3 linked regions of the Rhinolophus ferrumequinum genome follow. The protein of the gene in region 3 purifies or fractionates together with the protein of the main gene of each other region. This does not show direct contact. Links are inferred from orthologs where the notes say so. Each region holds a gene or a part of one and is shown on either strand. Other genes may lie near its edges.

Region 1 (3,743 bases), on a different chromosome or scaffold from region 3:
GGCTGTTGGCTTGAACTGTTAGCATTGTAGCACTGGATGGAGATGCAGAGACACAGACTTTGGGATGTCGCCCTGACAGAACTTGCTGCTGGACTGAATGTGGGTTGTAGGAGAAAGAGCACAGTACGGCTGACTGCTAGAGTGTCTTTCCTGGGATGGAGAATTCTAGCACATTGGTGGATTGAGGAGTAAGAAAGAGTTCTCTTTGGGACACTTTAGGCCAGAGACGTTAACTGATGCACGTTTTTCTTAAGTCACTCAGGCTGTCCTGTGGAGAGTGGGGAGGGGAGGGCATCTGGGAGGCAAGTGAGGGCCCTGAATTGGCCTCAGCAGGGACAGAGAGGAAACTACACAGGGCCAAAGGACAAGGCTGAAGGGGCTCCAGAGGAGAATCTTGCAGGTAGGTGGTCAAAGGCTTCAGCTTTTCATCGGTATGAAATAGGCAACCACGACAGGGCTTCAAGTGTGACCATAGCTGACCAAAGCCTTGCTGTGTGGAGAGTAGGATATAGGGTAGAGTTGCCAGATTTAGCCAATAAAAATACAGAAAGCCCTGTTAAACTTGAACATCAGATGAACAAATCATTTTGTAGTGTTAAGTATACACTGTGTACTGGTTGGGATATACTTATGCTAAAAATGTATTTGGTGTTGATCTGATATTCAAATTTAACTGTGCGTTCTACTGTTAACCAGGCAACCCAACCATAGGGGCAGGTGGAGGCAGGGCCCCTGCAGGCATTCCAAGGAGACCGAAAGGGCCAGAGTGGCAGGAGGGGAGGTGTGAGGAGAGGCCCCAGAAAAGACAAAGGTGGTCCCTTTGGTGCCCTTTTCCGGAGAACAGCTCTGGAACACACGAGTTTCTCAGCTCTTCCAGGTGTTGGCCGAGGGCTTCTCTGGGAAGCATTTACCCTTATCTTCTAGTCCTCCGGAGCCGGCCGACTCCCCTTCAGCCTCCCCCGGGCCCGGTAGCGGCTGGGAAGAGGCGGCCCGAGGGGTGGCGCGTTAACCCCGCCTTCCGCACCCCGCAGGGGTGGAGCCTGAGCGAGGAGCCTGCGAGCAGCCTTCTCTCCCCGGATGACTAGTGGCAGGAGAACATGGAGTCGGGCAAGATGGCGCCTCCCAAGAACGCTCCGAGAGATGCCTTGGTAAGTGCGAAGGATGAGCGGTGGGTCGCGAAGCTCCGCGCAGCCAGAGACCTGGGAGACAGGCCCAGGCCTAGGGCCTGAGGATGGGCTCGCGTGCTGGCTTCAGCCCAGCCGAGGCGGCAGGAAGGAGTGTGAGATTGGGGTGCCCTGGCTCCGGGGCGCTCTCCCGCCATCCCGGCAGCCCCGCCGGAGTGCGCAGTCCAACCGCCCGGGTTTGTCTCCCGGGCCTCGGGTCGCGGCCGCCTCGTCGTGTCGCCTGGTCTGCGAACCCTGACTCTCGTGTCCAGGATTCTGATGCTAGCTCTCCCCATCGCCACATCCAAAAATGACAACCAGCTGTAGCCACCCCGACCTCTGCTGGGAAAGCCAACCCGGGCCTCTTCGTCCCCGCCCCCATCCCCCGCGGAAAAAAAAAGTTTTCAGGAAAGAGGGTACGAAGGGATTTGGTGTGATCCTGACACTCACTTGGGAGGAAACGGCTGAGTACAAGTTTGGAGCCTGTAGAAGGGGGACCCTGTATCATAAATATAAATACTACCTTTGGTCCAATCTTGATTTCCAGTACCTAGATTATGCATCTGGCCTTTTTATTTGAATCCACAGGTGATGGCGCAGATCCTGAAGGATATGGGAATCACTGAGTATGAGCCAAGAGTTATAAATCAAATGTTGGAATTTGCCTTCCGTAAGTTGATAACACCAAAAAATTTTTGCCTAACTTGTGAATTTGAAAAGATCCTTTTATTCTAAGAATATTTTCAACTAAATTACTTTAACAGTTAATATCTTAGAATTCAGCCTAAAGCAGTAAAATGGAGCTCAAGCTAAGGGACAACAGTATTTATACTGTGGTATTTTTCAAAAATTGATCGTATACATAGGACAATTAGGTATTAGAACCAAAACTCATAAACTTTCTAGCAATTAATGGAAACTTCCATTAAGAAAACTGGCCATAAATATTAAGCTGTTTCCATATGTTTAAGAAAATAATGTTTTGTTCTTAAAGGATATGTGACTACAATTCTGGATGATGCAAAAATTTATTCGAGCCATGCTAAGAAACCCAATGTAGATGCAGACGATGTGAGACTGGCAATCCAGTGCCGCGCTGACCAGTCCTTTACATCTCCTCCCCCGAGAGATGTGAGCAAACATTTATTTAAAGTTCATTTTATTTATAATTTTTTCATTGTAGTTCTTATCAGTTTTTTTTTGTTTTGTTTTAAGTTTTTACTGGATATTGCAAGGCAGAAAAATCAAACCCCTTTACCTCTGATTAAGCCATATGCAGGACCCAGACTGCCTCCTGACAGATACTGCTTAACAGCTCCAAACTATAGGCTGAAGTCCTTAATTAAAAAGGTAAGAATTGTTAGTCAGTTTAGCTTTTTAGAAAGGTGAGATGTGTTAGAGAAATTTGTAAAGAACAAATGCCTGTAGATAGTGCAGTAGATTAAAGGCTAAAATAATTTACTAGGATATATATACTTTTTTAATTTACTGCAGTTAGCTGCTATGTTAAAATACAAAATATAAGACCTAAAGTTTTTAGAGCTAAAAGGAACTTTAGTGTTCATGTAACCCAACGCTTATTTTTCACATCAGGAAAGTGAGCCTAAACTCATCCATGGAGTTAGTAGCAAAGCTAGGGCTGATTCCCAGGTTTCACAACTCCCAATCTTTCCACTTGAACATAGTTTTTTAGTGAAGCTCAATAACAGAGTAAATGATATACCATCAGAAATTAGACTTGCTTTCTGAAATATGACCTAAGGCTCTCCCACCACTGAAAAGGTGCTCCCCATATTGGGCTCCCTTTGTTGTCTGAAGTTCCACTGTAAGAGAATTTATTTCTTCTTGGGTTAAGATGTTGACTAGTTAAGATTGAAAATGTTAAGGAAGTTAGCTGTTATCCCCAAATAAGATTCTACCGTAACCTAAGTACTATACAGAATTCTGTGTGTGTGTGTGCGTGCACGCACACTCATCTGTTTATATATATGTCTGTGAAAACCCTAGTTTAAATGTTGGATTCGGAACACTAATAGAACAAAAACAGGGCATTCTTGCCGTGGGTTATCCATTAATAATTAACATCAACAATCCTAATTTCATTCCTATTAAGTTTAGGTGTCAAATCTGAACAACATTAAAACTAATTTGTTTGTTAAATCCCATAGGGACCTAACCAAGGAAGACTAGTTCCACGGTTAAGTGTTGGTGCTGTTAGTAGCAGACCTACCACTCCTACTATAGGTAAGTGAGAGAGGGAAATGCCTTTTCTGGCTGGTAAAGAAGAAGTGCCTCAGCACTTGATTTTGAACTATAATCCAAGTCAAAAGGTGAGTCAGAAATTCCCATATGTGTGTTGACATTGATACATTATTCATCCTATAGTAAAGCTATAGACACACAGTATTTTATCAGATTTCAAAATGAGAAAGCTTACAAGTATAGATTTGGACATTACCCAGCATTGTTGCTGGTATAAAGTATGATACCAAAAACAGGAGTTTAAGCTGTGTTCTTTCTGCCTTCTATACAAATGAAGTTGCCAAACACACTCGTGGCAGTAGCCAACTTACCAGAAAT
Region 2 (3,743 bases), on a different chromosome or scaffold from region 3:
TGATGGTAGTGGTTACGTGATTGTGTGTGTCAAAATTCATAGATGATAAACCGGAAAAGGGTGAATTTTAGGTGGCCAGCCCCATGACACCTGCCCTTTCACAAATAAAACAGTCTCATGCAATACCTCAATAAACCTGATTTTTAAAAAATCAAGAGGTATGGCCAATTTAAGAAACAAAGAAGGAAGAGCGAGTTTAGGAGAAAAGAGGAGTTTTGATCTGGAGGTTTAATGTCAAAGTATCTTCAAGATATCCAGGCAAACCTTGGGAGACACCAGAATACACAAGGTCATCAAAGCCAAGGGACTAGACAGGTACATTACTCCCAGGAACGTACACATTTATCAAACAGGAGGATTTCCAGGGAGAGAGATCAGCAGTATCAGATCTTACAGTAAGGCAACAACGTTTTTGTTCTGACCAGGAAGGGGCTCGGGTGGAGGCAGCTTAAGAAATCCTTCAGTACGGTAGAATCAAGGTAGGGGGTAAGGAGAAGAGTGGGATATGGAAGTGTAGACGCTTCCCTGGGGAAACTAGAGAGTCTGGCGGGCAGGAGAAAACAGAGCAGTGCATTTAGTGAAGTTCTATTCCGGGTGGGGAGGTAGCCCTACCACCTGAGCGCTAGCTACTACGAGCCTAGGAGGTCTCACTTCCGGCTTCCTCCATGCCTCAGGTATTCCCTACCTGTCTCCAAAGACAGACTGTGAAGTCACCATGCCTACTTCTTACGAGGGCGTTCCCCGCTCGCCCCTTCCTCCCTTCGACCCCCACCCCGCCTTCTTTCTCCGAGCCTCATCGTGCCCCCAACTCCCCAGCATCCCTCGGCCCCAGGCCTCTCCGCTGCAAAGCCGTATCTCCCCCAGACCCACAACTCTGAGACAGAATGGGGGGGGGGGTCCCTGGCCCGGGGCCCGGCTCTCTCACCATCGCGGGCGCTGGCTGGGCCGGAAAGCGGAAGTACGGAAGTGGCCAGGCCCGCGACGCCTGCCCTTTCGCGAGAAGCGCAGCCGCAGTCTCCGCCCGGACTTCCGGACAGTACCATCTGTGCTCCGAGCAGGGTGAGGAGAGCCTCGGAACGCTGGGTCCCTTGGAAGTTTTCCCGCTAGGACTGCCTTGGTATCTTTAGACTGCTGCAATTTCAGGTCGGTACTCAAGCTTCTCCCGTTATCCATGCAGCTCTCGCTTGTGACTTTGGCTTTCTTGTCCTATTTGCCGCTTTCTTTCCCCATAGTCATGCAATGGTGCCGCCCGGCCGAAGGTTGGGCACCATATTTGGACAAGGCGAGGCGGAGGAGCCCTGCGTTCCTTCCGGTTCTGCGCCCCCATCCTTCCCCCGAGCCCCTCCTACCGGCTGCCTCTGGGGCTCGGCGGAACTAAATGCCTGACCGAAAACCCGGCTGCCGAGCCCCGCCCTCCAGCCCTTGGCTGTTCCCTCGGGTACCCGCGGCGTAACCCCCACCCCAATTGCAGTGGTCCAGCTCACGGCCCGCAAACCCTCCCCCGCAAGGCACCGTGAGCTCTCCCTCGCGTTTCTCCGCCCCCGCGTCAACTGCAGGGGCCCCGCCCATAGCCAGTTGCGAGCGGTAGATCCGACCAACCGGAACTCCCCACCCCCTCTCGCGGCCCGGGGGCCGTAGGAGGCCAGAGTGTGGAGGTAGAGGGGGCAGGAGCCGCGTTAGGGGTCTCGAGTGGACGGGGACCCTGAAGGCGGGGCATTGGGGCGACCCACGGGTGGAGCCAGCCGTTAAGCAGTCCCACTTCTGTGCCAGGCACTGAACTGGGCTCTTGACGAGCATCATCTTTTAATCCTCAGAACATCCGGGGGAGGTAGGTACCATTATTATCCCCATTTTACAGATTCAGACTTCTTATGGGGAAACAGACCCACACTACTTTGTCCCCATTTTGCAGTTGGAAAAACCGAGACTCAGGAAAGTTAAATGGCATATTCAGGGCCACATACATAGAGAACGGCAAAGTTTGGGCTTGGACCCAGGTATGTCTGGCTTACCATATCACATTCTTAACCACTGTCGGGCAAAAATAACCGGCAAAGTGGGAAGGAGTGAGACAAGGTGAAGCAGGGAGGCACAATTGAGAATGGGATGCTTGGAGCTCAGAGGCTTAGCAGAACTCACGAGAAGAACAACAAAAGAAAAGAGCATCAGGAAGACGTGGCATAGTGTATCATGGTAGTGAGGGGCTCAGACTCAGAAATACCTGGATTCAAAGTCTTGGTAAGCTTGGGCATGTACCCACCCTTACAAAGTCTCAGTTTCCTTATCTGTAAAATGAAGAGCACCATGGTCCCTGCTCAGAGGGTGAGGAATCAGTGAAAAGCTGGTAAGATGTCTGCACCTTGCTTGGTGCACAGTGGGTGCTCTCGGAGTAATAGCAGTGCCATCAGTCTTGTCAATAGGGTACTGAAGTCGGGCTTTCTCCTTGAGGCTGTTCCTGGATGGAGGGAACCCTTGGGCTTTCCTTGTGCCACTTTACCTCCCATCAATGTCCCTCTCCTTTTCAGCTCCGCAGGGTATCCTGGGCCATGAGTGAGCTGAAGGACTGCCCCTTGCAGTTCCACGACTTCAAGTCTGTGGACCACCTGAAAGTCTGTCCACGCTACACAGCAGTGCTGGCCCGCTCTGAGGATGATGGCATCGGCATTGAGGAGCTGGACACTCTGCAGTTAGAGCTTGAAACCCTGCTTTCCTCTGCCAGCCGGCGCCTGCGGGTGCTGGAGGCCGAAACTCAGGTGATACCCTACAGAGACGACGTCACCAGGGGTAGACTGATAAGTTATGGGATGGCTCATTGAGTTCGTCCCATCTGCTAAGGCCTGGGGTACAGGAGGTTGCAGGGGGGACAAATTGGGTTCTAGGGACACAAAATAAGCAAGAACATGTGTGATCTCCATAAACTGCAAGATTTCTAAGCATTTATTGACAACACAGCCCTCCCGCCCCCGACCCACCCCTTATGTTCTGGGTCCTGTGCAAGTCATTAGAGAAAGATAATTAAGACAATTCTGGCCTTCAGGGAGTTTGCTAACTATAAGTGGTGGGGGGCTGGTTAGACAAGTACCAGGTGATGTGTTATGGTTAGGGGGAATAGGGGAACTGGAATGAGGAGAGGATTTGAATCCTGGACTAAGCACTAGTTAGTGTTAGTTTCCTAGCTCTGTGACTTTGGGAAGATTACTTCCTATTTCTGAGCATGTTTCCTGTCTGCAAACTGTGCCGAATAATAGGACGTACCAAAGAGGATTTGTGAGGATTAAGAGAGGTTTTTTGTTTCGGTTTTTTTTTGCGAAGTCTGAGCCCAGTTTCTGACACTAAGTCAGCATTTTAAATGTTAGTCATTGGCACTACTCTCATCTCTCTTCACTGCATAAACATCCTCTGGGGCCTGTGTGCCAGGTGCTATGCCAGATCCTGGGGGACAACTGGTTAAGATGAGCTTCCTGGTCTCCAGCAGCTTATAATCTAGTCAAAAAGATAAAGTATGCTGTGCATTTTAGTATGTCCAAACAAGATGTTTGGGCCTACAGTGAAGGTGCAAAGTGCCAGGGACTCATAGAGGAAGAAGATGCCATTTCAACTGGACTTTGAAGTATGAAGAGCGTTGACTTGTGGTCCCTGAGAATCCACTGAAGCTTTTTGAACAGGGTTGTGGCACAACCCGTTGTATTTTAGTGTCTAAGCATCAGGTAACTGATGTGAAGAAGGCTTCCCAGTTGTGACTT
Region 3 (3,743 bases):
ACAAATGCCCACAGGGGACTACACCATAGTACAAGCTGCAAAGGATGAGCAGCTCTGGTTCTAGCAGGGGGGGAAGCCCTCACCGGCGGTTGGCGATTCGGCTGCTGTTCCGACCCATTCCCAGGCACTTCTCCAGATGGGGAGCAAAGCGGGAGGCGGCAATGCTGCGGCTGCAATTGGGGCAAACACACTCCTTGCTCTTCCACTGGTTGAAAACCTGTCCAAAGATGTCCAACCCCGGCTGGTCCACGATCTCTGGGGACAGGAGAGGCGTGGCGATCAGGGCAGGCAGGGGACCCTCACCTCTGGTTCCCACCCGTGGCCCCATGGCCTCTTCAAACCCCCAGCCTAAGCTCACAGGAGCTCTAGGCTCTGCATCTGGTGCAGTTTCCAGAGGAGGAACCTCCAAGCACTACCAGGGCAGGACTAGACCGCTCTCCTTCCACCCTGAAGCTCACCAAAATCCTTCATGCTATCAGGGTCCGTGTCATCCAGGAAGAAGTAGCCACACTTGACAGCCCGGTGTACCTCAAAGCAGAATCCCAAACAAGAATCCTCGACCAGGTCCGCGTATATCTCCTGAGCGATGGCCTGGGCCCAGGGGAGAACAGCCACGGTCACAAGAGTCACAGCCCTGGACTGAGAGCAATTCTCACCAACCAAATCTCCTGCCAATTCACCCTGGCCAAAAATAATGCTTCCTTTGCCATTTTCCCCATCTTGACTTTGCCTTCTTTCTTCTTCCGGATCCTTGGGCCTTTTCAGCTGGCTATTCCCTTTAAGGAACAAGGCTGAACTACCCAAATTCCTCTTTGGTGTGGATGCCAGATATAGAGACGTAGAGACATCAAGAGAAAGAACTAGAGGCACACGTGGGGGAGCCCTCACCTCTAGTTTGCTGTTATCCAGGCCAGACAAAGACATTTCCTCCATTTTCATTTGTAAACTCTTGTGGAGACGGCGCTCTGACTGCTCATAGCACAGCGGGCGGCAACACGGCTGCACACATGGGGATGGGGGTGTTGGTGTGAGTCCAAGGCACCTCTGAACATCGCCACCTCCCCTCCACACCTCGCTGCCCAGAGTGTAATCCTGGCATCAGGATATACCCCTCCCTAAGGCCTAGGTTCACTCAGTCTGGATGGTCCTTCAGGGCCTGAAAACCAAAGACAACCTAGTTCTTCCTTCCCAGGCCTCAACTCAGGCCCTGGACTCTACTGCCAATCAGAGTCTGGGTCTATAGGAGGCAGCAGCTCACCCCAGGTCCCCAAAACTCAAACCCCTCTTCCATACCCATGGTGCAATGCAGCAGGGGGAGGAGAAGGAACTCTAATGCCTCAAAGCAAACCCACAGGGTGTGGCAAAGAACTGCACACTCCTAAATACACTCCCCCCTGCCCCAGGCTCTCCTCAGAGTCACCTCTGTTTTCAGTCAGGATGTCCACTTGGGGGGGTACTGCTACCAGAAGTAGGAAGCCCTAGGACCCTACAACCTTCACCCCACTGTCTTCCCTTTAAATAAGCCTCCCACTACAGGAGAGTAGCAGAGTCCACAGAAACCTAGAGCGAAAGGGGCATTTCTAGCCAGCATGAGCAAGAGGGGTAGAGCCCAGTGGGATGGCATGCTAGGAGTGGGCACTCCCCTTACCTGTTCTTCTTTTAGATAACCACCCACCCTCCCTCAGGACCTGCCCGGAAGTCTCCCCAAGAGCCCCAAAGTCCAGGAATTCCCACCAAAGGATTCAGAAACACTGCCCACAGTCTGGGGCCCTTCTGAACGATGGGTGCGAGTTTAAGGAGCTGCCGGCCTGGAGTGGGGTGGGGACTGACAAATGAGCCAGGGGCACTGGGGAGGGTAGGAGGCCGGGCCTCGGCTCTTCCCCCGTCCCTGCGGCACTGCTGCTGCATCATACCGACTGGGGGGAGGAGAGCCGAGCCACCGGAGGCCGGCGCCGGTCCGGGACAGACCGACCCCTAGAGAGTGGGCAAAGTGGGACGCGTCCCGGCCCCTCTCTTTCCCCACCCGCCGGCAGCCCTGACCGGTCGGGGATAGGAGTCCGGGAGGGTGTCTCTATTGTCCCGGGGGCTGGGGCCTGGCTCCCTAACAAAGGCCCCGCGCCCCCTCCCCGGCCGGCCCTGCCCCGCCCAGGGGGGACCCAGACAGGGGGAGAGCAAGGGGCCCCCGGCCCGGCCGGGAAGCCGGGGGAAGCCGGGCGTTTCCGCGTCGGCCCGGGGGGAGGGGAAGGGGCGCTGACCCAGACCTGGGGGGAGGGGGCCCAAGCCCCGCCTCGGGCCCCGCCCCCCGCCCCCCGCAGGCCCCTCCCCCGTCCCTGTCTCCGTCCCGTACTCACCCCGCCCGGGGGGCCGCGCCGGGGCCCGGCGGCCTCTCAGGGCCGCGTCCTCCGGCGGCGGCGGCGGCGGCGGCTGCTCCGGAGCCCCATGTCCGTCGGTCCGTCCTCGCCTCTCCCCGGGACCCAGGGCCCGGGGCCGGGGGGTCGGGCCACCCCCCCGCCTCGCCGCCTCACCGGGCGGCCATGGCCCCTTCCCCTCCCTTCTCGTCCCGTCGCCGCCTCCTCCTCCTCACCTCACCCCGCCCGCGCGCAGTCCGCGCGCCGTCCGCGCGCCCCTCCCCCCGCCCCCCACTCCAGCCCGCCTCTCCCGGGCGGGGGGTGCGGCGCGAGCCCGGAGCGCGCGCGCGTGCCGCGACCGGAGGATGGATGGATGGAGCAAGCGAGAGCGCGAGCGTGCGCGCGCGCGCCCCTCTCCCCCTCCCTCCGCGCGGGCTCGAGGCCAAGCGCGAGCACGCTCCAACCTCCTCCTCTTCCTCCTCCCGCCCCTCCTCAACACCCCGCCCCCGCCCTCCCTTCCTCTTCCTTCTTTCGCTTTCGCGCGCCCAGCGATGGCTCGCGCCTGCTAGAAGGGCCCGAGCGCGTGCATCTGCCCCGCGGCCGCAGCTCGGCAGCATTTGCTCCAGGGGGCGGGGACCGGGCGGGGAGGAGGGGCGCCACGCCGCCGGCCAAAGTACCGGCGGACGGGGACGGAGGCGGGGATATGGGCGGGGCCTTCGGGAGACACTGCGGCCAATCGCCATCTCTCTTCGGCCAAGCGGGCCCAATAGGATGGCGGTGGGTGGGGCGGCGTTCAAGGTGAGGTGCGCGGTGCGCTGGGGGCGGAGACGTTGTGCCGTCCCGGCCGGCTCCGGGGCGGGGGCAGCGGGTGGCGTCTAAAGAGAGCGCCGGCTCCCAGCCGAGCCTGGGACGCCTTCCGGCCCAGGCTCCCCCGCCCTTCCCTCGGGGTTCCCGGCTCTCTTTCCCCCCCACCCCCCCACCTCGGCGTTTGCCCTGAACCGTGCAGCCACTTCTGTGAAGAGGCCGGAGTTAAAGTGGGGTGCAGTTAGCACCGCAGGGCAAAAAACCCACGATGCCGAAGGGGTTTGTCCGAACCTCCGTTCCCGGTTTCTGGACGGGTCTCAGCCCATTCCAGGCCTGCGAATCAACAAACGCCCGAGATGAGGGTCCTCCGCTGAGGGTGGAGGCCGAGCTGTGCCTTTTTGAGCGAAGCGTCCTCCTCGCCCTCATCCTAATTTAGATCCCACACCTGCTCTCCTTTCCTGCTTCCGGAACCCACGCTGGACCCCCCACCTCTCAGACAGCCTGCCTGGCACCAGTCAGACCCTTCTCCTGATCCAGTGCTACTCTCCTGGGTGTGCCCATATCTGCCCGCTCTTACTGTCCGCCTTTACC

What was found.
Region 1: the proteins of ATXN7L3 (region 3) and TAF9B purify together in Homo sapiens (affinity purification with mass spectrometry; 5 studies listed by BioGRID and IntAct, counting the BioPlex papers as one, with this or other methods). This does not show direct contact. The link is inferred for Rhinolophus ferrumequinum from reciprocal best matches to the Homo sapiens genes ATXN7L3 and TAF9B.
Region 2: the proteins of ATXN7L3 (region 3) and TADA3 purify together in Homo sapiens (affinity purification with mass spectrometry; 6 studies listed by BioGRID and IntAct, counting the BioPlex papers as one, with this or other methods). This does not show direct contact. The link is inferred for Rhinolophus ferrumequinum from reciprocal best matches to the Homo sapiens genes ATXN7L3 and TADA3.

What each region holds. Positions count from the first base shown.
Region 1 is NC_046284.1:75,558,503-75,562,245, forward strand, and holds the start of TAF9B (transcription initiation factor TFIID subunit 9B), read left to right. Parts: upstream 1-1,020; 5' UTR 1,021-1,097; coding exon 1,098-1,148; intron 1,149-1,751; coding exon 1,752-1,833; intron 1,834-2,157; coding exon 2,158-2,294; intron 2,295-2,378; coding exon 2,379-2,513; intron 2,514-3,331; coding exon 3,332-3,407; intron 3,408-3,743. UniProt on the Homo sapiens protein: Essential for cell viability. TAF9 and TAF9B are involved in transcriptional activation as well as repression of distinct but overlapping sets of genes. May have a role in gene regulation associated with apoptosis.
Region 2 is NC_046300.1:44,119,728-44,123,470, forward strand, and holds the start of TADA3 (transcriptional adapter 3), read left to right. Parts: upstream 1-1,026; 5' UTR 1,027-1,143; intron 1,144-1,325; exon of another isoform or gene 1,326-1,828; intron 1,829-2,525; 5' UTR 2,526-2,546; coding exon 2,547-2,753; intron 2,754-3,743. Other genes in the region: ARPC4 (actin-related protein 2/3 complex subunit 4), read right to left, coding at 926-928. UniProt on the Homo sapiens protein: Functions as a component of the PCAF complex. The PCAF complex is capable of efficiently acetylating histones in a nucleosomal context. The PCAF complex could be considered as the human version of the yeast SAGA complex.
Region 3 is NC_046304.1:39,289,719-39,293,461, forward strand, and holds the start of ATXN7L3 (ataxin-7-like protein 3), read right to left. Parts: upstream 2,475-3,743; 5' UTR 2,352-2,474; intron 1,618-2,351; exon of another isoform or gene 1,421-1,617; intron 1,000-1,420; 5' UTR 940-999; coding exon 889-939; intron 592-888; coding exon 459-591; intron 256-458; coding exon 84-255; intron 1-83. UniProt on the Homo sapiens protein: Component of the transcription regulatory histone acetylation (HAT) complex SAGA, a multiprotein complex that activates transcription by remodeling chromatin and mediating histone acetylation and deubiquitination.